Linked DNA regions of Drosophila melanogaster. The protein of the gene in region 1 interacts with the protein of each later gene in a pairwise test. Each region holds a gene or a part of one and is shown on either strand. Other genes may lie near its edges. The genes, in order: SuUR, Paris, Sbp2 and CG7006.

The links.
Region 2: the proteins of SuUR (region 1) and Paris interact in a two-hybrid assay, tested with the Drosophila melanogaster proteins (one study listed by BioGRID).
Region 3: the proteins of SuUR (region 1) and Sbp2 interact in a two-hybrid assay, tested with the Drosophila melanogaster proteins (one study listed by BioGRID).
Region 4: the proteins of SuUR (region 1) and CG7006 interact in a two-hybrid assay, tested with the Drosophila melanogaster proteins (one study listed by BioGRID).

Annotation. Positions count from the first base shown.
Region 1 is NT_037436.4:11,062,691-11,069,525, reverse strand, and holds SuUR (suppressor of Under-Replication), read right to left. Parts: upstream 4,536-6,835; 5' UTR 4,359-4,535; coding exon of another isoform or gene 4,152-4,358; 5' UTR 4,132-4,151; coding exon 3,804-4,131; intron 3,697-3,803; coding exon 3,497-3,696; intron 3,431-3,496; coding exon 3,252-3,430; intron 3,166-3,251; coding exon 984-3,165; 3' UTR 501-983; downstream 1-500. Other genes in the region: CG6310 (uncharacterized protein), read left to right, coding at 1-158, 220-395; CG45101 (uncharacterized protein), read right to left, coding at 4,152-4,358; CG32075 (uncharacterized protein), read left to right, coding at 4,866-5,005, 5,065-6,064, 6,125-6,339, 6,403-6,623, 6,703-6,752.
Region 2 is NT_033779.5:4,458,060-4,465,575, reverse strand, and holds Paris (parkin interacting substrate), read right to left. Parts: upstream 1,966-7,516; 5' UTR 1,790-1,965; intron 1,736-1,789; 5' UTR 1,731-1,735; coding exon 690-1,730; 3' UTR 501-689; downstream 1-500. Other genes in the region: FIG4 phosphoinositide 5-phosphatase, read right to left, coding at 1-196, 258-338; CG15443 (uncharacterized protein), read left to right, coding at 2,616-2,952, 3,013-3,752; CG15435 (uncharacterized protein), read right to left, coding at 4,017-5,372, 5,443-5,598; mRpL27 (mitochondrial ribosomal protein L27), read left to right, coding at 6,044-6,092, 6,147-6,310, 6,369-6,572; RpL27A (ribosomal protein L27A), read left to right, coding at 7,285-7,287.
Region 3 is NT_037436.4:8,299,725-8,307,322, reverse strand, and holds Sbp2 (SECIS-binding protein 2), read right to left. Parts: upstream 3,167-7,598; 5' UTR 3,131-3,166; coding exon 2,637-3,130; intron 2,576-2,636; coding exon 2,355-2,575; intron 2,302-2,354; coding exon 2,075-2,301; 3' UTR 1,998-2,074; downstream 1-1,997. Other genes in the region: Gr66a (gustatory receptor 66a), read left to right, coding at 343-583, 645-1,987; CG7194 (uncharacterized protein), read left to right, coding at 3,333-3,501, 3,833-4,704; CG13671 (uncharacterized protein), read right to left, coding at 5,111-7,207.
Region 4 is NT_033777.3:24,844,925-24,851,885, reverse strand, and holds CG7006 (uncharacterized protein), read right to left. Parts: upstream 1,260-6,961; 5' UTR 1,172-1,259; coding exon 1,116-1,171; intron 1,065-1,115; coding exon 578-1,064; 3' UTR 501-577; downstream 1-500. Other genes in the region: Nct (nicastrin), read right to left, coding at 1-48, 174-237; Esp (epidermal stripes and patches), read right to left, coding at 1,653-2,155, 2,218-2,520, 2,582-3,353, 3,424-3,671, 4,510-4,648.

The DNA.
Region 1 (6,835 bases):
CACGGTGCAGTACACAGAGCGACTATCCCATTGGCCATACTGGCTGAATACGGCTACGGCCAAGTACGTGGTCACCAAGTCATTACCCGGAGTATCGCCCGTGGCCTATGCCATTAAGTCCACGCATCAGACTTGCTTCTTTGCCGGATTCTATTGCCGTAAGATAAGACGGAAGTGATATGAATGCCCTCGCTAATCGTAAATGAATCTCTATTGCAGTACAATCACTGAGTGAATTCACGTTCAGAAACTCCAATGGTGATACCTTTGCCCAGGAGAACATCCAGTATCAGTGTCCACCACTCTTGGGCGGCATGTGTAGGCGGGAACTGGAGTTCCAGCGCCAGGCGGTGATGCACAACTTAACGATAATATTCGGAAAACAGAGAGGATAGCATACCAGGATCTAGTTCAAATTTAAATCATATGTGCAAACAACTAATTGACTTACCTACCAATAATCTTAATTCCTAATAAAAAAAAAACACACACAATACTTTGTTTTTAAATGTAAACCCTGTGTTTATTTAACGATGATACAAAATTACACGGTACTTGCTTCTAAAAACGATATCTTTCGTTACTTTAAAATTGTTGAATACACTTTGAATGCGTATTGAAATAATTTAAAAAAAAAAAAACACGTCTAAATCAGGTGGCACATTTTGGAAAATGAATTGAGAAACTAGATAAACTTGTGAACTAATAATTTACCAATTATATCTACTTACAAGATACGCATACAATATTATGCAGTGTCTTTTCAATTTTATGGTAACCTTACTCTTCAAAATGCGCACACAAAGTATAATTTTAACTAAATTAGCTAGACGGTCCTGTGCAATTTGATTTTACAACCTCATATTTGGATGCTGTTAACTTTTGATTTCGTACTATATGTTATATATTCCTTCATTCATTATATATTCAATAATTGGATTTGATTTGATTTGGTTTTTGTCATTTTCATTGATTGCTGTTCATCACTTGAACAGTTCCAATCGCTTTCTTTTGGTCGGTCCTGATGCTCCACCACTTCTCGCCGATCGCGTTTGACAAGCTGCTGCACTTGTGGATGAATTCACCGGCGTACTTGGTGCACTAACCGATTCCACGGAGCTGGTCTGTGAGGCTCCACCGCCGAAGACGGAGCCAAACCAGCGTGTTAGTTTCGTGGCCTGAGTGGATTTAGCACCCTGTTTGGGAGATTTGGGTGACTTGCGCAGCGATGCAAGAATGGAATTGCGATTACCATTCGAAGGTTGCGTTCGCTCCTGCGTAATTCCAGAACCTATCAAATAATTGGTGATTTTATTGGCCTGCGACGGCCTGACGGACTGTTGATCCGGTTGCACGGGCGATACTTCGCCAGAGGAGTTCAATCGCATGCGACTGCCAAATTGGCCATTGTTCGTTATCTCAAAGAAGTCATCTTCCAGCAGGGTTCTTCTTCTCTGCGTAATGGTAGACTCTGCATCATCCTTCTGGGTCAGTGGCAAGGTTGGCAAGACTTTGGGACTAGTTTTAGCCGACTGCTGTTGTCGTGGCTCGAACATTTGCTCCAGGATATCCAAACACGAGCGATCTCGCTTCTTTTTTGGCACCGATATATTTACTTTCGCTAGCTGCTGCTGAAACTGCTTCACCTCAGAGCCAAAGATCTTAAAGCCTTCGAAGGGCGATGAGGGTCTTGGTTGCGCCAGCGGAATCTGCGAGTGTTCCGAGGATATGCTAAATAGATCTGGAGATTTGTTGGCACTCCTCTTGGCCGGTGGTAGACCCAATCCGCCGCCGAAACTTGAATTGACGGACGTCACGGGTTTGCGTTTTCTTTTCAAAGCCTTGGTGCGACGACTCTGCGATGGATCCTGCGGAGAACACTCATCGTGCGAGCTATTGATCACCACTGTCTCAACTGGATCTTTGTAAAGCGGAATAGACACCACCTCAGAATCGTTGAGCAAATTGTGTGTAGACGGCAAGGTTAGAAGCATTGGAGTTTGTTGAGGTGTAAAGGGCACACGAAAAGCGGGCGACTCAATGGCATCCAAATTGTCTGGTATTCGCTGAGCACATTGCATGTACTCCGAGGACAACGAGCTACCACTGAGAACTTGAGGAGTAGGTGGCAAGTGCTTTGAATTCGGCTTAGTCTTTGTCTTCCCCAAATCTTCAGTCTTGGTTTGGCATTTTCTCGGACGTCCAGGCTTTCGTTTCGCAGTTCCTTGAGCAGGTACATCCACCGTCTTCTGTTTCTTTTCCTGCCCGACTTTAGACTTAGGCTCCTGCTTCACTATTTGTTTGCTACTTCTGGGCGTTTGGTTACCCTCCAACTTGACTCTCCTTGGAAAGCTACGCTTGACATCATCCAATGAGCGATGTTTCAAGTACTTACTGTTTATTTTTGTTTCAGCGGATCGTGTTAGGCGCTGCATTCCCCTTGTGGCTGGACGACCCACATCCACTGGGCTCACCGTGCGCTTTTTCAGATTTTTTCTTCTAGCTGTGGGCTCCGTTTTGGGCGTTACGATCGCAGTAGTGGTTCTGGACGGTGGTGGTGTGCTCAGAGTATCGAGGGAAACCCTTAAAATTCGAACATTGAGTCTCCTTGTCTTAGGTGTCAGATGAACGGTGGCTGCACGAGTTCTCTTCCTTGGCGGCATATTATCGGTCGCTTCATCATCCTCTTCGGAATCGGTGAGATCAGCTTTTTTGCGCGGTGACGTTTTTTTGCTAAATTTTTTCTTTGATTTCGTCCTTGGTGATTCATTTAATGAGGGCGTTCGATTTTGCGGAGTACTTGGAGGTGTTACAATCTCACAATCATCGCTGGATACAACTAATACCGGGTTTTGATCTGCATCAGGTTCTACTGTTAGGGGTTCATCGTCAGACTCGGAATACTCGAATATCAGCGGTGACATTGCCACATCATCCACGCTGTGCTCGGATAACCTATCCGTTTCTTCAAAGAGCCCAGTTTTATTTTGCTGAGCCGGATTGTTGTCTATGGAAGCGATTGTAGAGCACACATCTGAGCCGCTTATTGTGCTCTGGCTGTTCTTTGAGGCCAACCAGAGATTCAGATTGTGTTTGTATTGCTCCGGTGCGACAAGTGGCAGTGACTTGTCGAATTGATGACGAAAACGACGCAGACGAAAGTCCCTACAAATTATATAAGTTATTTTCATATGCAACTGACTATTCCGGTCTTATGCAACAGTGAAACTGATCGTTGCTGGTTCACCTACTTGATGTACTCGCTGAGGAATCCCCGCTGCTTGTAGTATTCCTCGAGATCTATGCGCTTACTGAATACCTCCTTCGGATCTGGCAGATGGAATTTTCGATCGAAGCTCGCAAAGCTTTTGTACTGATGCTCCAGTCGGCCGCCCAACCGTAGAACATTGTAGAGCAACCTAACGTCGGACTGCAGAGAGAGAGAAACCACATAAGCTAAAATGATATAAACCATATTATGAATGCATTGCCTCACCGTAACGTCAACACTGGAGATAAGAACGTTTACCCGTCCCTCGAATTGCTTCAGCAGCATGGAAGTGCAAAAGCTGTTGTTCAGCGAATGCCCCCGATTATCCACCATAATGTAGTCGAACTTGAGGCGACTGAGATCTCCAATGCTCCGTAGTTGGCTCCATTTCGCCAGGTAAACGCTGTGCGGGGAGTCGGTGGTATCTGTAAAGGCAGAAAGTGAAGGTGTTGAAGTTTAATTTTTAAATGGCAATAATGTGAAATTACGATAACATTCTTATCAACAAATCCATTTAAATATTAGGCATTACCTTGCACCCCCTGAATGATGTACACCTGGAGGTCAGTGAGAGTGTCCAAATGGAATCGCCAACCGGTGAGCAGTTGCTCATCGTTCTGGAGCACCACAAGTGTTTTTTTGGCGGGTGGTAGGGCACTTAGAAGTGCCGCCACCGTAGCGACCTTTCCAAGGCCACTCTCATCATTCAGGATGCAGAATTCCCGCTTAGCCAAACGATCGTAGACGAAGCGGACGGCATCCAGTTGAAAGCTCTTGAGGTACTGCGTCACGTGGCTCGTGACCAGTGCCTCATCTGTGAGCCGCACCTCCGGCGTTTGCTCGGATACAAAGTGATACATGATCCTTCAGAGAATTCGAATCAATGGTGTGCGTGATGCAGGGCCAGATAGATGGCAACCAGGATGTAGAATAGTTGCAGGTACGAGAAGATCACGAACATCGAAAATGAACCAATTATCATCTTTCGCGCCGCAGACGGCCCATCGAATTCGATATTCTCCGGATGCAGTATGTCCACCACGTTGTAGTTGTTGTTGATGATAACAGGATGTTGGATCTCGTACATGTGTTGAAACTAGTTAAGCTTCAATTTTTTCGGAGGACAATTTTCGTCCCTTTTGGGAAATTGGGTTAAGCGCTGTTAGTCATGGCGGGGGCGCGGGAAAAGGCTTAACAATCGAACAAGAAGAAAATATTATTTTTGGCTCCAATTCTATTTCACCATTCACACAGAACCGGCTGCGTCTTGTTGGCGCGATCAGCTGTTGGACGTTGGTAGTGTTGGCAAACGAAGCAATGTCTAGAAATAGCCAAAAGAGATACTGCTCTTGATTAATAGCAAAATATTAAAAAAAACTTACTGAACCGACAAGGATTAGTAAAATACATTAGGTTGGAAACCTTTGGCGAGTAAAATGTTTTTAAATTAAATTATTTATTCTGCCAACTCAAAACTTGTGTAAGGAATTCATTTTTATAGCTGCATTTAGCTCATCACTGTTGCAACTGTTGTGATTTCGTTTGCGGTTTGTTTCGCATGGAATTTGTTTAAATTTATTCAGACCAAATTGCCATGGCTGTTGCAAAGAAGGAAAAATTTGAGGCAAAAAAGAAAAGCCCTGAAAAGGGAAAACAGCAGAAAGCCAAAGTTGTTCCTGTCACACCGCCACCAAATGTAAAACAACGAACTGTGGTCACTCCTTGGCGAGACACGTGCGTAGACAAAAAGTGGAAACAAATCCAATCCGTTGATAAAAACATTACATTTTCAGGCTGGAATTTAATACAACGTACAAATGGTTGTTTGGCAAGTCCAACACACCAGCCACATGGCGTCAAGCGCTCAGTAAAATCCGCATTTGGTGTCTGCGAAGAGGAAGTCTCTGCCCGGCAGCGGTTTTGGCCACATCGGTGCTTGTTCAGGCGCACTTGGAGGACCAGGAGGGCAGCGCCAAAATACAGGACACCTATGCCAGTGCCTTTACACGATTCTACAACTTTATGTCCTCCATTATCCAGGGACACAACATGTCCAGCATGTATGAAACGGCCAAGGAACTGGGCCTCCAGTCGTTCATCGTTGATCTGCGCCACTTGTGCGCCCATGGACAGGAGCTGCCGCCTGTGGAGGTGCTGAGAAACACCTCGAATCATTGTCTGGAGTGGCTGCGCACCTACTACTGGTTGCCACACATGGAAACCATGTCCAATTTGGATGCTGGCAAACTGCATCGCAAGGACAAGCTTAAGTTTGAAAAGGCTGTGACAGATCTTCTGGAGATCTACGATCTAACCCTGGAGTGCCATATCAAGGGGGCTGAGAAACTAAAGGCCATTAGCAAGCTAAAATCCAGTGGTGAATTCAATAAGATACGAGTCTACTCCTCCAGCAAGAAGGCGAAGACATCGAAAGAAATTCTGAGTGCTGTGTTAGGTGATCTAAGTGCGTTGGTCAAAAAGGAGTCATCATCGATGAAGGATCTGCTGGACATATATACAAAATGCCTGCTTAAAATGAAATACTTCCTTGGCGTTGGCTTGGAAATCGACGACAACGAGGATGTCATCATTGCAGCCACACAGGGACTCTTCCGTCTATTGGCCGTGCAGGGATATATCGAGAAGGTTTTTTTGGCCCTAGTTCAACTGAGTGAAAACCAAAACGAGTCGGAGCAAAGGCGTCTGGGAGCCAGCTACTGGGCAAAGAAAATGTTGGAAACATTTGGGATGCTGTTCCGTATGAAGCGCATGTACAAAGCCGAACTGGATTTGGTTAGTATAAATACGGAGTGTGTTAACGATGAAAACACTAAAATATTCTTTATTTTCCAGAACGATAAACTAAAACCAGCGGACTTTGCCACCCTAAACACGGATAAAATTTCTAAGACAATGCGCAGTCTGTTAGTACACTCAAATGCCGATCTCTCGGTTACCCTTATTTTTGGCGACAATCCCAAAAAGTCCAGGTCTTTGATTTTTGATCGTGATTTTATTATGCAGCGTGTTGATGCATTTAGCAATTACTCAGCGCCCATTCTAAAAGGGTAGGTATACATTTTTTTTTGGGTTTACTTGCTTTTGGATTAATAAGATTGACATTTTCTTAGATTATTACCGCTCGCAGATCCTCCATACACCAAGACGCAAATTGAGGATTTAACTAAACTCTGCGATGCACAGCTTGAAGAATTTTATGAAGAGGAAGCTATGGAAGAAGATAGCTCTTCAGAGGAGAGCAACAATCTAGACCGTTTGGAACGATTTTTGGAACAAGCAGCTCAAAGCAAAGAGCATACATCAGACTGGGGAGTTTGGAAATTAGACAAGCGTAAGTTTTGATTTGGCTTTGCATTTATGTGATTTGAAAATTAATCAATTATCGCTCTTACTGTAAATGCTATTTCCAGATACCGATTGGCCCAAATGTGCATTGGGTGTGCTCCCTTGGGCTCAATAAATACGCAGATTAATATTAAATAAAGTAATTAATAAAAACTAGTACTAGATCCAGATTTGAATTTTTATTTGGCGCGCATTTCT
Region 2 (7,516 bases), on another chromosome or scaffold:
AGCGCACAAATCCAAGGACGCCATAAGCGGACGTCACCTTGGGCGAACCCGAAAGGGAAGCGACAAAACGTCGGATCTCCAGGCTGTTAAACTCGTTGGCATTCTCCTCGATACTCAGCCGGTTGTGGGCAAGTCGGTCTATGGTCAGGAGGCGAAACCGAGTCTCCCGATTGTTGCTGCCCACCAAATAGAGGCGCTGAAATTATGGCGATATATGTGATTAGTCAAAAAAAGGTCAGCTGGAGGTGATTTCTTACCGCTCGTGTCTCATAGAGCACTACTTTTTGGATGGAGCTTATCAGGGGATTGAAAACTATATTCGGATTATCATTGTTCATTTTTTCAGCTTTTCCGAAATTTTTTTGTTACAATTTCTCAGGCCGCTCCCACATAAACAACAAACAGCTGATCATCATCTGTAGTTGGATATGCGAGAAATGGCCAGTGTTGGCAGCGTGAGAGGGAGTCGATTAATTAATTTTGTTTTGGTTCAATCAAATATAAATAACATTTTATTCCATCATAAAACATATCAAAATAGGCATATTCATTACCAACCAATTTTATGCCTTATTCTTACAATACCTATGAATATGTTAGCTTATTTTATCATCTAGCAAAATCATTTTTGTCCATTTTAAAGTAGTGCACATGGAAGATATGTCTTCCAAGTGTTTTTAAAGTAGTGGTCACTTGTGTATCTCGAGGATATGTCTAGCAAGTGTTTTTCTCTGCTTATAGAAACTGGCACAGTGAGGACACTTAAATGTTCTTTCAGCGTTGTGTACGAGCTTGTGCTCCTTGAGAGTGCTGCTCAGCCGAAAAGTCTTGGGACAGTGGGAGCAGCGAAATGGACGATCTGGTAAGTGCAGGCGGCTGTGCTGCTTGAGGTGCTGCTTCATAGCGAAGGCCTTGGGGCAGTGGGAACACTTGAATGGTCGTTCACCAGTGTGAGAACGGAAATGGTTATCAAGGTGAAACTTCCTCGTAAATGTTTTCGTGCACTTGGAGCACTTGAACGGTCTCTCGCTGCCATGTGTGCGGATGTGACGCCGGAGATCGGATGATTTAATAAAGGTTTTTGAGCACTGTGAACACTTGAATGGTCGTTCGCCAGTGTGAGTTCGCTCATGCGACTGCAGAGTGGACTGCTGCGCAAAGGTCTTGGCGCAGTGGGAACACTCGTAGGGTTTCGCTGCATTGTGGGTCTTCATGTGCGCCTTGAGAGTGACTCTAAGTCTAAAGTTCCGCTTGCAGTAGGGGCATGGGAAGGATTGTCCGTCCATGTGTGTTCGCATGTGCCTCAGAAAAGTTCCCTTTCGCTGGTATTTCTTGTGGCATTCTCGACATTCGAATGCTACCTTCTTGCTGTCGCTTTTCCCATCGTCATCAGCAGCGGATGCAGAATCAATCCGCGCATCTTCGTCTTCCGAAATCTCCCAGTCTTCTTCTTCGAGCAAGGCGCATAAAGCATCCTCGATGCCTTCATCGCGAACTCGGCAGTAGAACTGGTGGCTTTCCTCACAAGTTTGCCTTATCCCATACGCGCTCTTTACGTCCTCATAGCACTGTGGGCATATCATTTCCGAAAACAAATCGCCACGTTTGACCTCGAATCCGGTGCACTGCGCGATCATCTCGGCAATGGAAACTCTGGTTCTTCGTCTGGCGTCAAATATGTTAACGAGTTTACCAGAAATATCCATACAAACTCGGCATATTTCCGCCATTATCCCTGTAATAAACAATACTTATTAGGCTGAACTTTATGAAGGACTATATTACTTACCTGATGTATATACTAAATAGCTTATAGCTGGAAAAGCAATCTTTTATAATTTAGGAATCCGTTTCATACATCCCAATTAATTGAAAATTAATGCGATTGCCTTGATGAACAATTCAAAATAATAATAAGCTAAACTTCACATTGTGCACAGTACACTGGGCACCCTATTCTCTGGGCCATATGCTAAATCGATTTATTATCGATGTTCGAAATTCAAATTATTTATCAAAATGATGATTTTTGAAACTAAGGTGTGTTTACCATATTTAACAGCTGAGATAAACGCAAACTTGCAAGGGTCGCCCTGTGGTGGTCAGCCCAAGTTTTGATGGGAAAATTCTTATCGGATATCGATATCCTTTACCTGTTGAAGAATATAAAATTGAAATAAATTTCTTTGGAAAAACAAACATTTATCTTCGTATAGTTTTTTCACATTTTCGCCTAGCTAGTGGTGAATAATTTTGGACAGAAGGAGCACTGGACTTTTTCCGTGGAAATCATAGAAAAATTAAATTAAAAAGGCACAAAAAGGAAATGAATCTCCTCGCCGAACTTCTTTGCCAGTATAAAAATAAATTCACATATGAAAAATCGGGTTCCTGGGTGCCACTGAATATGTTTATCCATCGATTCCGGGCTCAGATTACCACCATTGACCTGAAATTAAATAAGCATTACTTACTCCAAATAAAATATAAACAAACAAGTGCGTACCTTTTTTGTTTACAATTTTAACAGCTGATGAGTGAAGTGCTGTTAACCTTTCATAGTTATCGATAATCTGTTATTATTATCGGAATATTGCTCACTTGCTAAGGATTCCATGAAATTTAAACAAATGGACTTTGTGACGACAACTGGGGAGGGAAGTTTTCTGCGAAACAAGATTCGTGCATATGCCAAGGATCACCGTGTTGAGTGCCGCATAAAGGCGAAAGACTCATTGCGCATTGGACTTGGACAGGTTAAGCAGGAAGTGGCGGCTCTTGAGATGGGCACCAAGGACGTCATTGGAATGGCCAGCAGGATCAAGCGTCGCAAGCACGCCACCTCCGAGGATCTGTGCCGCTTGTCGCTGGGGTTCCTCCAGAGCAATGACAACATCAATGCATTCGCAGCTATTCCTGGCGCCATTCAGGTTCTGGTTAAGGAGCTAACTGGTAACCAACTGCACCCTCATTAGCTTTAGTTTTATATAAAAAGGTTGACTTGACTTTCAGGACCTCACATTCAACGACAGACAGATGCCGTGGAGTGCTTGTGTAATCTTTCCTTGGGCGAGGCCCATGTCTCCGAAAAGATTGTCACTTTGGCGGGCAGCTACATGGTCACCTACCTTGATGGCAAGGCCGAACGCCTCAAGCGCAGTTGCCTGTGGACACTGGCCAACGTTCTGGGCACATGCGACAAGGCCGGCAGCGTATTGCTGCAAATGCAAATAGTACCCAAGCTGTGGAGGCTCTACATCGAGCCCAATGGCTGCCAAGAAGATGCGGCCATCTGCCTCTCCCTGGTGGCCACCCGCTGCCCGCAGCATGTGAGTGACGAGGATCGAAGGTACATTGGCCAGAATCTGCCTGAGAAGCTCCACGGCCAGCCTGCCAGCGAGTACTTCATGTACATAGTGCACCAACTGGAAATAGTGACACAGGAGCACAAGTTAGATGCTCAACAGGCCGAATGCCTGGTGCGTTTCTTTGAAGCCACCTTAGCATCGCCAGCCGACCGGCTGTGCCTAATCTACGCCGTGCGTGTAATGACCAATCTGGTAGCCCTAGGTGACACAAGTCTAATATTCGCACTGGCAGACCCGCAGAATCTTGTGCAAACCCTAAACCAGCTCTTCGCTCTGCGAGATCCAGATCTCAACCTGGACGCGATGCGCTTGCTCAAGAACTGTCTGCACTTGAAGGTAGCAGATTCCAACCTGGTACTGAATAGCTTGCAAATATACGCATAGGCTTATGGTTAAGAATAAGTCTTGCAAATCTCTTTATTGGTCTTAGAGTACATATAAATATAAAGCCACGGACTTTTGAGTACTCGAGAATGTATTGTAAATGAACATGGATTGCCGCTAAGCAAAACTAAATCACTAATGGAAACAGAATAAAATAAATAAATAATAAATAAATACAATACGACAAAAACACAGATGCAAAGTGGTCAACATGATTACTAGTTTGATTGAGCCACCGGCATGAAAAACAGGACTTTGTAAAACCTAAATATCATCCTCGAAGAGGGCGATTATTTGACGCCTTTTGGCTTCGTCGTCGGCGTTCAGTTCATTGCCCCTGTGGGCATTGTGGTTGTGCACCTCCAGTTCGGAGACTGAGTCAAATTCTAAATTGCACTGCCCGCAGCGGGCTGAGAAAACGGGCGCTGGACCCTGCGAAACTGTGCCAGGAGAGACAGCGGCCCGTTGCAGCTTCTCGAGGAACGTGGCTCTCTCCCTGTGCTTGTCCAGCCCGATTCCCAGCGCCGCCTTTCCGCGAATGGGAATGGGTTTTTTCACCGTCGGCGTGCCCTGGGAATGGCAACTTTCAGAGCGCTCAATGGCGTACAGCACGTTGTTCTCCTCCGTGATCGGAGTCGTCGTTCCGCTGGCACAGTCGAATAGAGATGGTTCCTGCACCGGCCGGGGATCGGGTATATCTATGGGAATTGGCGGCTCAGCTATCTTCTCACCGTTGGACACCTTCACCTGATTGAGCTTCTCGGCCAGAAGCGAGTCTATGGAATGTTCCTGCAGCCAGGCGCAAGTTTTGTGCAGAGCGAATATCATGCGGCGGATGAACTCGTGCGGCGAGACCATTTTCTGTCGCCTAATCTCGAGCAACTTGGTCACCTCGGTAACAAACGTGACGAACTGGTATTCGACGCAGTTGTCCAGATGCGACTGATGCGAGTCCTCGAACATGAAGCGTTTGGAGCATGCCGGACACTTGCGCTCCTTCCACATGGGCTCCGGTATGTTCACTTTGATGTCGCGCAGCTGCAGCTGATCCTGCTCCATGGGATCGTCCTCCTCGAAGTTGGTCTCGGTGTAGTTATAGCAGTTCTTGTGCTTGCGCAGCAGGGCCGCCTCCTCGTTGTCGTCGCTGGAACTGGCCACCGCATAGTCGTCATCTTCGTCGTCATTTTGGCCACTGCTCGATGGCAGTTCGCCATCCCGCGGTTGCCTGGGCATGCTGTTGTGAGGCTGCTGCTTGTTGAACAGCACGTTTAAGTACTGGATCTTCTGCTCAGCATTGCCGTCTAGCTGGGTAGTCGTCTGATTGAGCAGTCGCTTGTGTACCTTGTCCTTGGATGACTCCAGTTTGTTGGCGCTGTTGTTTAGCAGAAGATTATGCACTGGCCTCTGCTCCACATAATTCAGATCCTCCGCCGTGAAGAGGGCGCTCTCCTTGTCCATCTTGTTCGCATCCGAAACGTTGACCCTCTTCTGCTGGTAGAGCTCCGCCAGCTTGAGACTCAGCGCGTTCTTGATGCACTGTTCCCGGAATGTGACGGCATGCTTGAGATAGGAGATGCACGGCGCACATATGTTGCGTGGCAGTCCGTCGTCCGTGGAGTTCTGCGGTCGGTCGAAAGAGGAGGCACTCATATAAACATTTATCTGGCTACTTTAGAATGGAGTCACTTACTTTCAGGCCCGTCGTCTCCTCCAGCAGAACGTTTATGGGCTTTTGCCAGTTGAGAAACTCGTTTGTGGAGCCGTGCAAATACGTGGGAATCTTGGCGAATATCTCGTAGTCTGCGGGGCTGCTGCAGATGCGGCAGATATTGCCCCACGACGTCATACTTATGGCAAACCTTAAACTTAATGCTTATGCCGGAAAAAATAAACAATGACAATTTTCAACACTCCGGCGAGTGTTGCCCTACCACTGAAGGTTCAAAACTCAACAGTCCACCCACTTGCGGCAGTGATGTCCAGTTAGCTATAACAGGATTACAGCAAATTTTTTGAATATTAATTATTATTAGCTAAACACGTGACAGATATATTAATGACTAAGACGATAGTTTATTTAAGCATAAATAATACTGTTGAAAATACAAACGTAGATTTATTTGATATATATTTACAAAGCTAGATTTTATTAACACCAATTGGCAACAGTGGCCAACAGTCTGTTAATGCTCTTGATCTAGCTGAACTCGGGGGTCACACTGGTGCCCATCTGGAATTGCATAAACAAACCTCGCTACTGGAATAAAATCACAAATATGTCGTTTAATATCATGCAAAAGCTGACCATGCAGTGCCTGAAGGCAGACCAGCCGCTGATGAGTAAGGACTTCCCACGAACCGGTTGCATATTCTAATCAATTCAATCCCATTTAGCCACCGTGCGCAATGCCAGCAAGAAAACCGGCGGAAGTACGAGGAATAAGAAGGGCCATGCGAGGCCCAAACATCGCGGATGGCGCGTCCAGGATGGGCACCACGTCTCCGAGGGCACAATACTGGCCACCCAGCTCACAACGCGCTTTCATCCGGGCCTGAATGTGAGTAGCGCAGGAAGGAGTTATCCCGGCATATTTTTATACTTTTTCCCATTGAAAGGTGGGCTTTGGCCGCAATGGAACCCTTTTCGCCATGGAGCACGGCAAGGTTTATGTGACCTGCGAGGCCATCGATCCCAACTGGGACCACACCTGGATTCAGCGGAACTACGCCGGTCGCCAGGGCCAGAACATCTACAAGAAGTTCTTCAATGTTGTGCCCGAAAATCAGCATCAGCGATTTCGTCTAGTGGAGGAAATCTAGATTGTTAAATACAAAATTTAAACCAAATGGAAATGTGAATATTTGAATTTTTGGCAATTAACATCGATGTGCTTAACAGCACCTGTTATATTTACATGCCAGCACGACCGTTATACAGCACTGTATTTAGCAATGCTCTGAACCAACTATCGAATACACGCCCCGAATTTGAAAAGAAATCCAGTTAATAGCCAGATATCAATGCAACATTTTCGATTATTAATTTCGCAAAACTTTTTACATTGCGAACTTCAAAAACAAAAACTACACTTCCCCCTTTTTTAGCCAAGCCGAACGCTATTGAACTGTAAAATGAACTTTAATAATAAGCCATAATCATCTATAAGAAATTATAAAATTATGCACATGACGGTATAGGCACTGCCTACAGAATTTCGCTTAAATCAAGTACACGTTTTATCCTATGAATGTAAAAACTTATTTAGTATTGTTGTAGTGAAATTCAATTTAACGCTTATATATGCAGTATTATGTTTAATTATTCATGATTATATATTTTCATAATGCATATAGACTTAAATTTATCTTAAATATAATGGTGTGTACGAGATATTTTTTCAGACTAAAATGGTAGTTAGGGGTATATGTTTTCTGTCCGGATGGTATTTCGTATTTTTTGTTATCGCCGCCGGGCGGTCACACTGCTACAACCGCAGCCAACTTCGCTTCTTTCTTTCCTACAATTTTAAAGATGGTGAGTGGACGTCGGTAAATGTGGTGCACCTAAAATGTGGTTTGTGGGCAGGCGAATGATGTGGAATAGAAATAAGAGCTCACTCAAAGTGCCGCAGCATGCCTGCCCACTGACTGCAATGGCCAAGTGAGCATAGCGACTGGAGCAAGTAAACATAACCTCCAGCACGTGGGTGAAAATGATTGAGGAATGCTCAATGAAAACACGTTTCTTTTCTGCTCTCCCTTAC
Region 3 (7,598 bases), 2.8 Mb from region 1:
ACAGCCACCACAAGAAAAACATCTGACACGGATTTTGGAGGCAGATTTCTCATTCTAGAAAATTATTCGCATTGAATATTAATAATGCCGTGTACATTTGGCTTTAAATTTACAGACATATATATCCAATATAAAACCCATGAAATTTTTCCATTTAATAAACACCACAAGAAGTAAGCTCATCCGCGTTTCTTGTCCCAAACATGGCGCAGTAGATAGACCATGTTGATAGTATCGATTAGGGGCGGAGGGGTCAATTAATTAGGCTAAGTGCACTCTGCAGGTAATAACTTGATGTTAGTGGGAATCGGTTATTCAAAGCTGTAGTGTTCAATGGACAACATGGCGCAGGCGGAGGACGCAGTGCAACCACTATTGCAGCAGTTCCAGCAACTGTTCTTCATATCCAAGATAGCTGGAATTCTGCCACAGGATCTCGAGAAGTTTCGATCTAGGAATCTGCTGGAGAAATCCCGTAATGGCATGATTTACATGCTGAGTACTTTAATACTCTACGTTGTGCTCTATAATATTTTGATATATTCCTTTGGAGAGGAGGACCGCAGCCTAAAGGCCTCGCAGAGTCAGTTAACCATCCGCCTTGAAAGGTGCAAACTCATAACCATGTTATTCATTCTTCCCAGGCACCTTGACTTTCGTGATTGGCTTGTTCCTGACCTATATCGGTCTGATTATGATGGTCTCCGACCAGTTGACCGCGTTACGAAACCAGGGTAGAATTGGAGAGCTTTACGAGCGCATCCGTCTGGTGGATGAGCGCCTTTACAAAGAGGGGTGTGTTATGGACAACAGTACAATTGGACGGCGCATACGAATTATGCTGATCATGACGGTCATCTTTGAGTTGTCCATTTTGGTGAGCACCTATGTCAAGCTGGTGGACTATAGTCAATGGATGTCCTTGTTATGGATAGTGTCCGCCATTCCCACGTTCATCAACACGCTAGACAAGATCTGGTTCGCTGTTTCGTTATATGCGTTGAAAGAACGCTTCGAGGCCATAAACGCCACCCTAGAGGAACTGGTGGACACGCACGAGAAGCATAAGCTGTGGCTGCGAGGCAATCAAGAGGTTCCGCCTCCTCTGGACAGCTCCCAGCCGCCTCAGTATGACAGCAACCTGGAGTATCTGTACAAGGAACTAGGAGGTATGGACATAGGTTCCATTGGCAAGAGTTCAGTGTCTGGTTCGGGGAAAAACAAAGTAGCACCAGTGGCCCACTCCATGAACTCCTTTGGTGAAGCAATTGATGCGGCCAGCAGGAAGCCTCCACCGCCTCCCCTGGCCACTAACATGGTCCATGAAAGCGAGCTGGGAAATGCCGCTAAGGTAGAGGAGAAACTAAACAACCTGTGCCAGGTGCACGACGAGATCTGTGAAATCGGAAAAGCTTTGAACGAGCTGTGGAGCTATCCCATTCTATCTCTAATGGCCTATGGTTTTCTGATTTTCACTGCTCAACTTTATTTCCTCTACTGCGCTACACAGTACCAATCGATACCATCGCTTTTCCGTTCCGCCAAGAATCCCTTCATCACTGTTATAGTTCTAAGTTATACGTCTGGAAAATGCGTGTACCTCATCTACCTGAGTTGGAAAACGTCGCAGGCCTCCAAGCGCACAGGAATCAGTCTGCACAAATGTGGCGTGGTGGCCGATGATAATCTTCTCTACGAAATTGTTAACCACCTATCGCTAAAATTGCTCAACCACTCGGTGGACTTTTCGGCTTGCGGCTTCTTTACCCTGGACATGGAAACATTGTATGGTGTGAGTGGCGGGATCACTAGCTACCTGATCATCCTGATTCAGTTCAATTTGGCCGCCCAGCAGGCCAAAGAGGCTATACAGACGTTCAACTCGCTTAATGACACCGCCGGCTTGGTTGGTGCCGCCACCGATATGGATAATATTAGCTCCACGCTGCGTGATTTCGTCACCACGACCATGACACCGGCGGTCTAAACTTTGTTTTCTTGAATGTTTTATTCGATGTTTCGAGCACGTCCTCCTGGCACTTTTACTTATATTTATTTGTCACGAAATAAACTCTCACGAAGCAGTTCTGCGTTTGTACTCCGCACGGGCATCCTCTATTTCATTAAGAAGATCTGCGTAGGTTGCATTCGCTCCGTCAAAGTCAAGGATAGCAACGCAACAAATTTGCGCTCGCTTTTGGAGGGCATAAGAAAGCTCCCTTCTCAGCAGAGGAAAGCAATAGGGCACTTGTTGCTGCTGGCATTGGAATTTCAAGCCTTCTATAGTCGCATCTAGACCACCTTTTTAAGCGGATATTATTAATGGCTGATTTGCGAACAATTCGATTACTCACTTTCGCCGGGGCAGATTTCGCAGTCAGTGGCCAGGAACAACAATTTCACCTTGTTTATCCTTAGCCTCGCCAGAGCTTCTCGAACACCCAAAACCAGGCGGGGATGTGCACGCGCTTTAATCTCGTTTTTGGCAAAGGCGCGCTTCTGAAATCGATCCAGGTCCCTTAACAACTGAGTGGACAACTCCTTGAGGCGAGGACGGGTGCAGTTGTCACAATAGCTGGAAGAGATCAAACATGATATTTCAACGTTTAAAGAAGGTACAACCAGTGTAATCAAACCTTCTAAATCGCCGTGAGTGAATGGCATGTACTGTTTTTGCTTGTGAAGGGTTGTTGGGTGCAGGGGTTTTACTAAGTGATAGGTTTTGAACTTGTTGCTCCAGCGGAATAGCATTCGGATTGATATCTTGACCAACTACTGGGACTCCTTCAAGATCATTCTCTGCGACTTCTCTCTCCGCCTTCTTTGAAGTGCGATATACACGTACGGACTTCTTCAACCTGGTGATCTTCTTCTTGGGATCAAGGCGGGTTTTGCCCTTGGGTTTGTAAACTATGTAGCTACCTCTTGTTATGGCTAAATGTGTCTTTTGAAGTTTATGTGCCTTTGTTTGCCTTTGTGTTTTTGGTCTCGGCTTGATGACAAAGTCCAGAAGAGAGGTTTGCTGCTCCCGTTTCCTGTGCTGGTTTTTGTACTTGGAGCTGCGTGGAGTAATCTTGATCGCTGTATCCTGGACATCCTGATTCCTGCTCCTCCTTATTTTTTCAGTCATTTATTGTGGATTCTTAGTGCATCTCTAAAATAGTGTTGGTCGTCGCGGTAAATGGTGAAATCGCTTTTTCACCACACATGAATGCGAAGAATCAGCGCGGTACAACAACGTAATTAATAAAATCAAGAACCGCAGCAAATGCGGCCTCATTCGTTCCTAAAAGTTTTGATTTGGAAGTTCAACGTTAGGCTTCTGTGAAAAAATGAGTACCGCTAATCATTTTCAAAGAATTCTTGAGAAATTGTCAATCTCTGACAATGAAAGGGCCGTATATACCAAGGAAGCCGAGGAAATTCAAAACTATGTAGTTGACGAACTTAAGCGGGTAGACAAAACCTTTCGCCAGGTATTCGACGGACTCAGTCTTGGAGGTAAGTTATTTAATTTTAAATATCTACATATATTCTACATATATTCTACATATATTTCTATATAAAAACAAAACAAATAAATAGAATAATGTTAGTTACAAGACATTGTCTGGTCGATTTTCTAATGCATTCAATATTATTTTTAATAAAAGTGTAAATTGACGGAAGTAATACAAATGTAAGTCGAGATAATCCAACGCTATACAATTACAATTGATATCTCTTGCTTTATTTTGTTTTATCATTTTTGCAAGAAATGTTGTACTTTCGTAAATTCATCGTTATGTATGTACATTATGTACCTAAAAATATATGTACACGTATCTTTTAGGAAGTTACTTGGATCGCGTCAAGCTAAATTTGCCCGATGAATTTGATCTGCACATGAAACTAAAGTTTCCATTTGATATCCGACCGACTCGGATCGACCAAGGGTTTATTTATTTAGAGGCTGATCTCACCGTAATCAATCCCCAACGCATCCATCGTATTGTACTTCAAGACTGGCTACGCAATGCATTCCGCAAGGTATTCAGGTCTAATCAGACAATTGCCACTACCAGTAATCGAGTCTACAAATTAACCTATACTCTTGAGGGGTATGGTTGTGCCCATACCATTTTAGCCGTTTGTGGTAGTCGCTCGATATCTTTTGATTTGGTACCAGCATTCGAATTCTCTGGAAGCCAATGGCCGTTTGATATTTGCCCGGTTCCTGCTGATGTTAGCAATAATTGGCCATGGTTCGCCATTCCGCAACAGAAGAAGAAGTCGGCTAAACCGAGAACCACATTCATGGTTTGTGCACCACATTGGGAGCGCGAAATTATGAAGGGCAAGGATAATTTGAAGAACGTTCTACGGCTGATGAAAGGATTGCGGGATGCCCACGCCAGGAAATTGCCTCACTTGTCCAGCTACATGTTGAAAACAGTTTTGCTTCATCGCCTCGAAAGTGCTGACTGGGAAAGAGACCTGGGCACCCTATTGGTTGAGATGTGGAGTCATTTGGTGGATCATCTACGCGCTCGTAGACTGGAGTTCTTTTTGGCTAAGGATCATAATGTATTCAATCGTATGAATCAAAATGAAATCAAGATATGTCTAGAAAACGCAAGCACTCTGCTAAGAAAGCTTTGTATTGCTCAGACATGCGGTGGTAGCTACCATCATGTGGCCCAACTATTCAATATTCCAAATTAAGAAGAATTTAATTTCAAAACAATACCGAGCCTTTTTCATGCCATTTGCAGAAAGGAAAAAGCGTACATGCACACATTTGGCTCATTCACAAGGGCGCAGAACAAATATTCGATTATATCCGAGGCTGAATAAGCACATATCTTGCTGAGTAACAGAACTTTAGTGGAAGAAAAAAGAAGTTGAATCAAAAGTCATTTCGGCCGCACATTTGATTGTTTACATTGTCCCTGAACTTTGTTTAAAAATAAAGCTACGAAAAAAAATTGATTTACCCTTTGTTTATATGTATGTATATTTATACAACTATGAGTGTTAAATATCTTATGAAGAGACAACTTTAGCCTTACGATCTACAGGAAATATCAACGGTAACTTTTAACTAAAGTTATATTTCAGGGGGATTTCGCTATAATCGAATGCTGCTTTCGATGGACATGTGCAAGTTGTTGAACTCCCTTAGGTGCGAAAGGATGTCGTCCCGCTCCCGTTCATAGATATCCCAGAATTTGAGATATTGGTTAACGTGCTGGAGTACCAGGTTGCGGGCAAAGTCAAGACAGCTCCTAACGTTACGCATCCGCCGCCTGCAGCTGGTCAAGACCGAACGCACCTGCTGCTCCGGCTCCAATTGGGCGATCACAAATGCAAAAACGTTTTGCACATCAATCCGCACATCGGTTGGGAAAACCACGGATTCCGCGCTCTTTGCCTGGGGGAAGACAATTAGAGACGGCGTGGTTGGCATGGCCAACTCCCAGGGCAGATCATTAGCCTGGCTATCGAAGCGTACAAAGTGCACCTCGGGGCTGCCGAGCAGCGCCGAAACCTGCAGAAATGCTTGGGATAGAACGGCTGACAGAGCGCAGTCAGGACGATGCATAAATACCACATTGGTGACATTTGGTCGCTGGATTGCCTGCAACAGCATCTGTCTATTGTATTTTCTACTGAACCCAGATTCCATCATGGCAAGAGCATTTTTGTGAGTCCTTGGCAATGTTCTGGCGTAAAACTGCCGTATAAAATCTTTAAGAGCTACGTAGGAGAATGTGTGTTGCTGTGGCATAACATACAGTGACTCTTCAGCCGCATCCAAGATGAAAACCTGCACCTGCTGATGGGTTTGCTGAATGCCAAGCTGGTGTAGATAGTCTCTATATTTCACAGAATCGAAGATCACCACGCCCAGCGACCGATTGTGGGCTGCGCGCTCCGTCGAGTGCTGCCAAATGAGCTGGCCATATTTGGTTACCATTTTGGCAATGCCGATTTTTATGGCCGGCGTTCCATGCTGTGAGTGTGCCAGGCAAAGGTTTCTGGAGTGAAGCCGCAGCAAGTGGGGGACGTTTCGATAACTCGGATGGTTCTGGTGCGAGTACTGCCTCCATAGGTGGTTTAGATACCTATTAATCCGATAATAGTTCTTAAGTGTGGTCTTGTTTTTACTCCAGGCCGGGTAACATGTCCGGGTTTGTTCACCATCCCCAAACAGCTCCTTGGGAACTTGATTTAGGGAGGAGGATATGTCTTCAGATTGTTTATCGAATTTTTTCCAGTAGTCTTCGCACCCCTCCGACTGCTTTTTTTGAGCGTAAGCCATCTCCTCGCCCATGACGCTAGCATGGTGATATTGGTTCATTCGAACTCCCATAGCCAGCACGGGGACATGTCGTGCCTTCATGGCGATGGTCATAGGAGTGCCATAGCCATTGGAGAACAGCGACATATTTTTGAGTGTGCTCCGTACCCAGCGCAGAATGTCGATGGTCTTCCATACTCCAGATGTACCATTAAACGTATGAACTCCATTTCGGCTGTCGATAACTACAAACTGGGGCAGCTTGGCCTCCGAGGACTTCAACATCTTCCTGGCACTGTTGCCAAAGTACACGGTGAAGCGGATATTCCTCTCCGGATCCAGTTCCAGCCAGCGCAGACCGGCAGCCAAGTAAAGATTGTAGGCCTTGTCGTCTGGCGAGTCAAGCAGACCCAAAACCACCGCATCCGAGTGCTTCCGAATGGCGGCGAGATCCTGACTACTGTGTGCCCGGTCCAGTGGCTGAAGCAGGTTATTCATGAACCGGGCGAGATCTTCAAAGCTCCACGAGCCCTGGTACTGGAGTAACTGCTTTTGGCCGTAGCGCACGATCAGCGTGGGCCATTTGTCAGGATAACCTCCTGCGCCGGCGACTCCTGGTGCCGGCATCAAAGTACGGCTGCAATTGCACTGCAAGTGCCAGCAATCGATGGCTCCAAAGAAGCCATACTCCTGGTAATAGTGGGCCAGTCCATTGTAGACCAGTCGTGCCTGCCGTGCTTCGCTGGCCCAGGACACGTAGTAAAATAGCAGCGAGATCTCTGACTCTGACGCTTCCGCACGGAGCTGGGGAACACTGCGTCCGGGACACTCGACAATGGGAGCCTGGTCGGATGTGGCTGACCTTGAGGCGTCCAACTGAGCGATAGAGAGAGCCAGGAGCAGCAGGCTCAAAATTATTTTCATTGCAACCGGTGGGAAGCTAATTAGATGTTAAGAACAACACAACAGCAACCGCCGTGAACAGATGTTTGCCGCGAGGATGGCCACACTGGTAACGTCGGTAGTGTTGTTAATAATAATAATTTATAAGTAATGACTAAATCTAAATTTTAAATTTGAAAATAATTCTTTAAATAGGTTCAATATTCAAAAATAACTTGTTTTGGAAATGCAAAAGAAACGTTGTTAAGCACTAAATGGTTACGGTCTCATTAAGCTTTACTTTCTTCCCCACACTGCCCGCAGTTATCGATAGCAGCACTATCGATTCCAAGTGATATTAATTAATCACTTCTGCTGTTTACTTTCTTAATTAAAACTCTGTTAATTAAATTATCAACAACGGCTGTTCTAA
Region 4 (6,961 bases), on another chromosome or scaffold:
CTCCTCCAATGGGCTCGTACATCTTATCGCGGGTTCTTTCTCCTTGAGCTGTGGACAAAGAAAGTTCGGGTTAGATGACTCAGGTTATTTGGCCTATATTAAAAAGTGGGCGTGCGGGTTTTCGACGCCGGTCGCTACTGGAAGCTCCACTTTGTTTTCGTCCTGATTATTACCAATAGTTGCTCCATACGACAGTATTAACAGCCATATGGAAGCCGCATTCAGACGCATTTCCATCGAAGATTCCCACGAAATCGCGTCCAGAAATTGCAGTGTTGCGTGTGACCGTTTCGGTACAAAATACCATTGGCATTGAAAATGCGGGTATATACTATTTCAAACTCAAAAAATACCTTGCATAAAATATACCACAAAATATTGGCTCACTATTTAAAATTTTTTTTTTTAATAATAATTTATGAAATGTAGTGTAAGTTTTATTATCAATTATTATTATTATCAGTATTAACATTAAAAATATAAAATCAAAAGCAGTTTATCCGTTTTTCAGCATACTTATTATTTACCTAAACATGGTTATTGCTACAAAACATGTAAAAACTTAGCATCTATGGATCTAAAAGAGCGTGTCCTCGGCGCGAATATATTCGCCGATATCCGACTGATGAAAGCATACGGTGGTCATGGGATCGGCGGTCTTGCAGTCCGTTGTGGAACGCGCCAGTACGCCGAAGCCCAGAGGCAGGTCGTTCATGGAGTAGACCACCACGCCCTGGTACTGGCCGGCGTTCTCCGTGATGCGACCCAGTCCTGTTTTGGGTATGTGGTTGCCGTAGAGAAACTGCTGCTCGAAGGAGGGCTTCACCCACACCTTGTACTGGGCGTAGGGCGCCAAGTAGTAGAGGGCCGTGATATGGAACTTCAGTTTGTTGGTCTTGGAGAACTTGCCGAAGCAGGTGCCCACGCACACCAGCTGCTTGTAGCCGAAGCACTCGCTCAGCTTCAAAATCCGCTCCGAGACGTAGTAGACCCGATCCTTGTGCTCCCGAAAGCAATATGTTCCATCTGGCCGGTCAATCAAATGCTTCACATTTGTGCCAATGCTGTAAGAGCACTTGTTAGCTGCATTGCGATGATCTGTTTTGGGTACTCACTATTTGGACAGGTGCTCGAACAAGATCTTGGCACGTTCGTCGCTCAGGCGTTTCATTTTAAGTTAAATTAAGCGGAAAAAAGAGGAAAACAAACTGCTCAACTTTACACGTGAGAAATGTTTCAGTGTTGAGTAGGGACGGCTAACAGCACTGAATATATCGGTCTATCTATAGCTTTTATCGATAGCTTAAGAGTGCTGTATAGCGCCATTATCAAGTGTTGTATATTGCCCAAGTATTTAAATTCAAAATCAAATATATCTGATAAACAAAACTGAATAATAGTTTTAATTGATTTGAGTTAACCAATCTCACTGACTTTTACTCTTTCATGAAATAAACAAGATAAATTATTTTTGTTTGTTATTATTACGTAATTAAGAAATACACTTATTTGTTCACCTTACAATTTCTAATAGTTGTGTGCTCTGGATAATACTACACAATTAGTTTACAATCTATTTACAACGCCATAAATAATTAAAGCAAACACTTAGGCTAAATTATTTGTATCACGTGTTGAGGAGAATAAGCCAGTTAGGCCGTCTCGAGCCGCTTCTGCACATAGTTGCGCTCCTTGAGCAGCTCATCCAACTGCTGCTCCTGGTAGTAGACCACGAACTGGGCCGCCGACACGTGCTCGAAAATGGAGCAGATACTCGGTTTGAGGTTGTAGAAGAAGAGCAGTTGTCCTCGCTGATTGAAATCACTGATCAGCGAGTCTATAACCGTGGCCGTTGTGAAGTCAGCCCCGTAGACATGCGACGCATCTATGACCACTGGGACATTTTGCCTAATGGACTGCTTGTTGACCAGATTCCTCACATAATCCACAGACGGGAAGATCAGGCATCGATCTGGCGTGATCATTGAGTACTCCACACCCGACTGTGTGGTCAGTAGCTCGGTGCTCAGCTTGGGACGCGCAGCATGGTAGAGGATAAAGATGACATTGAGTCCCACTCCAATGAGGATGCCCCACTCCAGCGGCAAGACAAGGCAGGCCACAAAGGTTCCAACTCCAGGCACCAGATCACTTTCTAATGGGTTATTAAAGTGAGATGAACAAATGACCACTATCTCCATATTTTGTATGACTTACTCTTCGATCTCCACATGGGCTTGACCACCTTTACTTCAATCATGAAGACCACGGCGGATATAATGATGGCTGCCAGGGTAGGGCGTGGAATGAAGTAGAAGTAGGGCGTGAGGAAGAGCAGGGCAATCATGACCAGGCCACCGGAGTAAATATTGCTCAGGGGAGTACGGACACCACTGGCATTATTGACTGCTCCACGACTAAGGGCTCCAGTGCCCGGAAAGGCTTGGACAAAAGAGTTGAAGATGTTGGCCGTTCCAATGGCAATCAATTCCTGCGAGGCATCCACTGGCTTGCCATTGGCTGAAAGGATCAACTATTATTATAGGGAACCATATAGGGAAAGATAGAGCTTAAGACTCACCAAACGCTTTGCAGATGGCTATGTTTTCCATGAGCGAGATCAAGGGAATCACCACCAAGCCGGAACCCATGCTGTGAACCATTTCCACGAATCCCTCGGCCACTCCATTGCTGGTTTCATTGGCAGTCAACGATGTGGGTGGCAACTGGATGCTGGGGAGCCCGGGTGGTATCTCTCCCACCACTCGAAACGGAGCTCCGTGCTCCTCGGTGTGGAGCATATAGCCCATGATGCAGCAAACGACCACCAGAATGGCATTTCGAGCAGTACCCACGATCCAAAGGATCTTGTTCACAGCCCGCTGGAAGGATGAGCATTCCTTCTCGTCGACTGGTCCAATTCGACAGGAAGACAGACTGCGCATCAACAGCAGGATGACAATGCAGGTTAGCCCTAGTACCGTGTCTCCTGCCCTTGTGTGCTCGATGTTGTGGAAGACTTGCGTCCAGATCTCCACGAAGGTGTTGCCCTTGGCCGTGATGCCCAGCACACTTTGGATCTGCGAGGTGAGGATGATCAGCGAGACGGCGGAGGTGAAGCCCGAGGAAACTGGTCCGGAGACGAAGTCAATCAGGAAGCCCAGTCCGAAGAGGCCCATCAGCAGCTCCACAATTCCACTGAGCAGGCAGAGCAACACCGATTTCTGCCAAGATCCTTGAGCAGCCTGATAAGTAAGCAGGGCCACAATCGCAGATGGCCCCATGGGTACATCCTTGCAGCTGCCCAGGAATATGTACACAAAGCAGCCCACAAAGGAGGCATACAAGCCATACTGCCCAAAGGAACATGTCGATTACAATTTATACTTGTAAGTAATATTTATATATGTATGTGCTACTTACGGCTACGGGCAGTCCTGCTATTCCCGCATAGGCCAGTGCCTGTGGTATGACGGTGAGACCAACTGTGATGCCCGCCACCAGGTCGCCCACAGCATCCTGGCTGTTGTACTTGGGGAGCCATCCGAGGATCGGGAGTCTCTTGTGCAGGGTCTTGCGATTGAAGGTGCGCCGCTGGCAATCCTGCAGCCAACTGCGTGTGCAGTCCAGTGTGCTCACTGTTGGCTTCACCTTCTTGCCGTCTTCAGTGACTGCAAAAGATATGTCGGAAATCAAGAGAGATTCGATGAAATGGCTAAAACAGCACTGATTCATTAGCACGTACTGCAGAACCCCACGCTCGATCGAGTTTTTGCTGGTTCCCACCCTTCCATTTAGTTTCAGTTTGCTTTCTGCTATTTTAATTGCTTTTGGTTTTCATTCTGATCTACGTGAATTTCATTGTCAAGGCCAAAGCAAAAGTTTTGTAGCTGAGAAAACGTGGAAAACAATTGCATTTACGAGTATCTCCGAGCGGGGAGCACGAGGCGTATACTTGATGCAACGTTTTTCTTGCCAGAAACATTCGCTGAATTCCATTACTTTAATTGCAACTAACAGGGAAATAACTAACTATGAAATCAATCTGTAACTTGTGGCATAAGTTGCTTCCAAACTAAAGAGCTTAGGTAATAGTACTTAAATGGGCAGCTCTCGTGACTCCGAAAGCTCATTAACTTGTTCCTACAAAATAATTAATTTAATTTGATTTTGTAGTTCATAATTCACCAGCTAATAGCCAAAATTGCTAAAGCTATTTGAGTCACAATTTTAATGTTTGGTAATTCGTAAAAAAAAAAAAATTACAATAAATCAATTGCAATTGCTAGACTATTAAATGTGTACAGTTTGTATTTGGCTTTTGTTAGTCCCGTCAAGCTATTTTATTACTTATTAAAAGATCATTCTACACGAACTCATCTAAAATTTATTACAAATACAATGTGATTGATTTTACGGCAGCAAATTACTATATTTAATTTAACTCCTCTATTTGGTTTCATAATCACTCCCAATAGTTGGCTAAATGTCTTAATACTTTAGACTCACGTATAAACTCCTTGGATCCCTGGGATCCCACGCTGTTGCTGCTCCCATTGGGTTCGGTGAGATTGGTGCTGATGCTGATCGTGGAGCACTTGAATCCGTCGTTGAAGTAGACGTGATCCGAGGCCGGATTGGATTTCATCTTTGGAGCGGGGGTGGCAACAGCAGCTCTGATCAAAACAAACAAACAAACACTGCCCACAAAACACAAGTTGGCTTGAGTTATAATTGCCGGCGGATGGCACCAGGTGACACTAAATCTAAGTGCCAAGTCGGGTATTTGGATAGTATCTGAAAGATGCCCGTTGTTCGAACGATCGGTTCTGGTCGCTTGGCTCTTCACACGGCAGCGTTTCGAACGAAACTGTTTTGTACTTGATGCGAACCTTGTCTTTTATAAAATTCAAAACTTTGTTGTTCTCGTCATCTTCGTCGCTCCGTTTGTTGTTAACTATTTTCGAGTCGCGTTGAGTCGGGTCGTTGGTGGGTTTCGGGTCTGGAATCTGGCTTGTTATTATTATTATTATTATTGTTTTGGGAAACCGGGACGATCGACGATATGCGGGTTGCCCTGTGAAGCTGATAATCCGACGAGGGGGAAAATGTAGGAAAACTACGATAAAGCGAAGTTCCCATCGCGTGTTTCGTTTTTTGTCTTATGAGCACTTACTGCCCAAAAACAAAAACAAAAAAAAAAAACCATTGAGCAGCAAAACGAAAATCGAAGAAAAAAAGTTAAAAAATTAGTACAGAAAAGAGAAGAAAGGAAGTTGTAAATTCTTTTCGTATTAGTCCGTAATTATTTGGCTGGCTCGGCATTTTAGGGAGCATTCGCTCAACACGTGAGCCCGTTGTTCGTTGTGTATTTATGTATCGGGTATCTGTGATATTTTGGAACAAATGAGTGGAAAGTTACCCTGATTTTTGGACCCGAACCGAGTGTATTAATACCCGGGACTTTTTTTAGGGAGAAAATTTCCATTCATTGCAGCAGCAGGTAGATGCTTCTGTTTTTTTTTTTTTTTTTGTCATTATAATCTTTTGTTGTCTTTCGGAGGTTTCTAGTCGCCGGGGGTTACCACTGGCAGTCAGGTGCTAAGATCTCAGAAAAACCAGATTTGGCCACAAACACGACTGACTGCAGACGAAGAGACACTGCCCAAATGTTGCATTTTGATCTTGCATTCGGATGCCTGCACCCCATGCTGCTACCAAATGGAGTAGTTTTGCCTGTTTTTGGGTTTTATCCTCCGCGTTATCGAGCATCTCTTAAATGCCATTAACATTAACATATTTTTAGGTACGCTTAATGAGATATTGCCTTATCAATGAGTTCGCGACAAGGCTAATTGATCTGCCTTCGGCGCGCTGACTTGTATTAATATCATCATCTCCGTACCAGACATCATTATAAAATGCTATATTTGTTTGGATTAAAGGAAGTAACAAAATCGGAGCCCCAGCTCATTCCACAAATAGTAGTGCAAGTATTCTGAATATTTCCAAATGAACTTGACACTTTATAAACGTATAGACCCTTTGCTAACCAAACAAAAGGTGAGACCAAAAAATGTCATGGGTAAATAAATATTTAAATGCACAGCTTGGGGTCGTATTGTGTTTCTATGGAAATCAATGGTGTCTTAACGCTTTGAACAAATTATTTTGAAATGCATTGATTGTAACCTTAGTTGCCGATCGCAAACTTTCTATATTTATGCTGATTGAAGTTATGTTGAAGTTCAAGATGAACATCGAAATTCAAGCGAATATCGCAAAAAACTTCCTAGACAGCTGATGCTGTGACAAATGGAATTATTTAAATTAATTGAAACGTGCTGTTAGTGTTAAAAGCCCATAAATATCACTGTCTTTATAGCCCGGCCAAGATCAAAATTGGCAAAGCAAGCGACGGTGCTATATTTCATACCAACTATTTAAAAAGCTTATATGACATCTTATATCTAATAATATGTTATAATGAAATATAAAAATACTTAAGGTTTGCGGTTACCAAGAGATAACTATAAAATGAAAGGGTGATTTACCTAAAAACGAAGTACTCAAACTTTCTATGAGGTATTCCCGTAGTCGATCTTTAAGAGCTCTAACTGCCTTCCACGTTTTGAAACCACTCAATGTTTGGGTATTTTTCGTTCTGCCTTCTCCGTTGTGCATTTCGTTTCCTAATCGCAGTCAAATGACTTGAATACTACGCGTATCAGTCAGCTGGCAAAATAGCATAATTTTTAATGAGTGTACACGTCAAGATGCCGGTAACTGGTTTTATACGGGGACCTCAACGATGATGGCAGACGGTGATCTTGGGGGGATTCTCCAGCTGCCGAAGTCGTCTGCTAATTTTGGATGATGTCAAACAAGCTGGCGCTTCTCACACCGAAAGTATTTTACATCCGAGGGCGTTTCCCTTTGTCTTATTTGTTTTGGTTTGGGC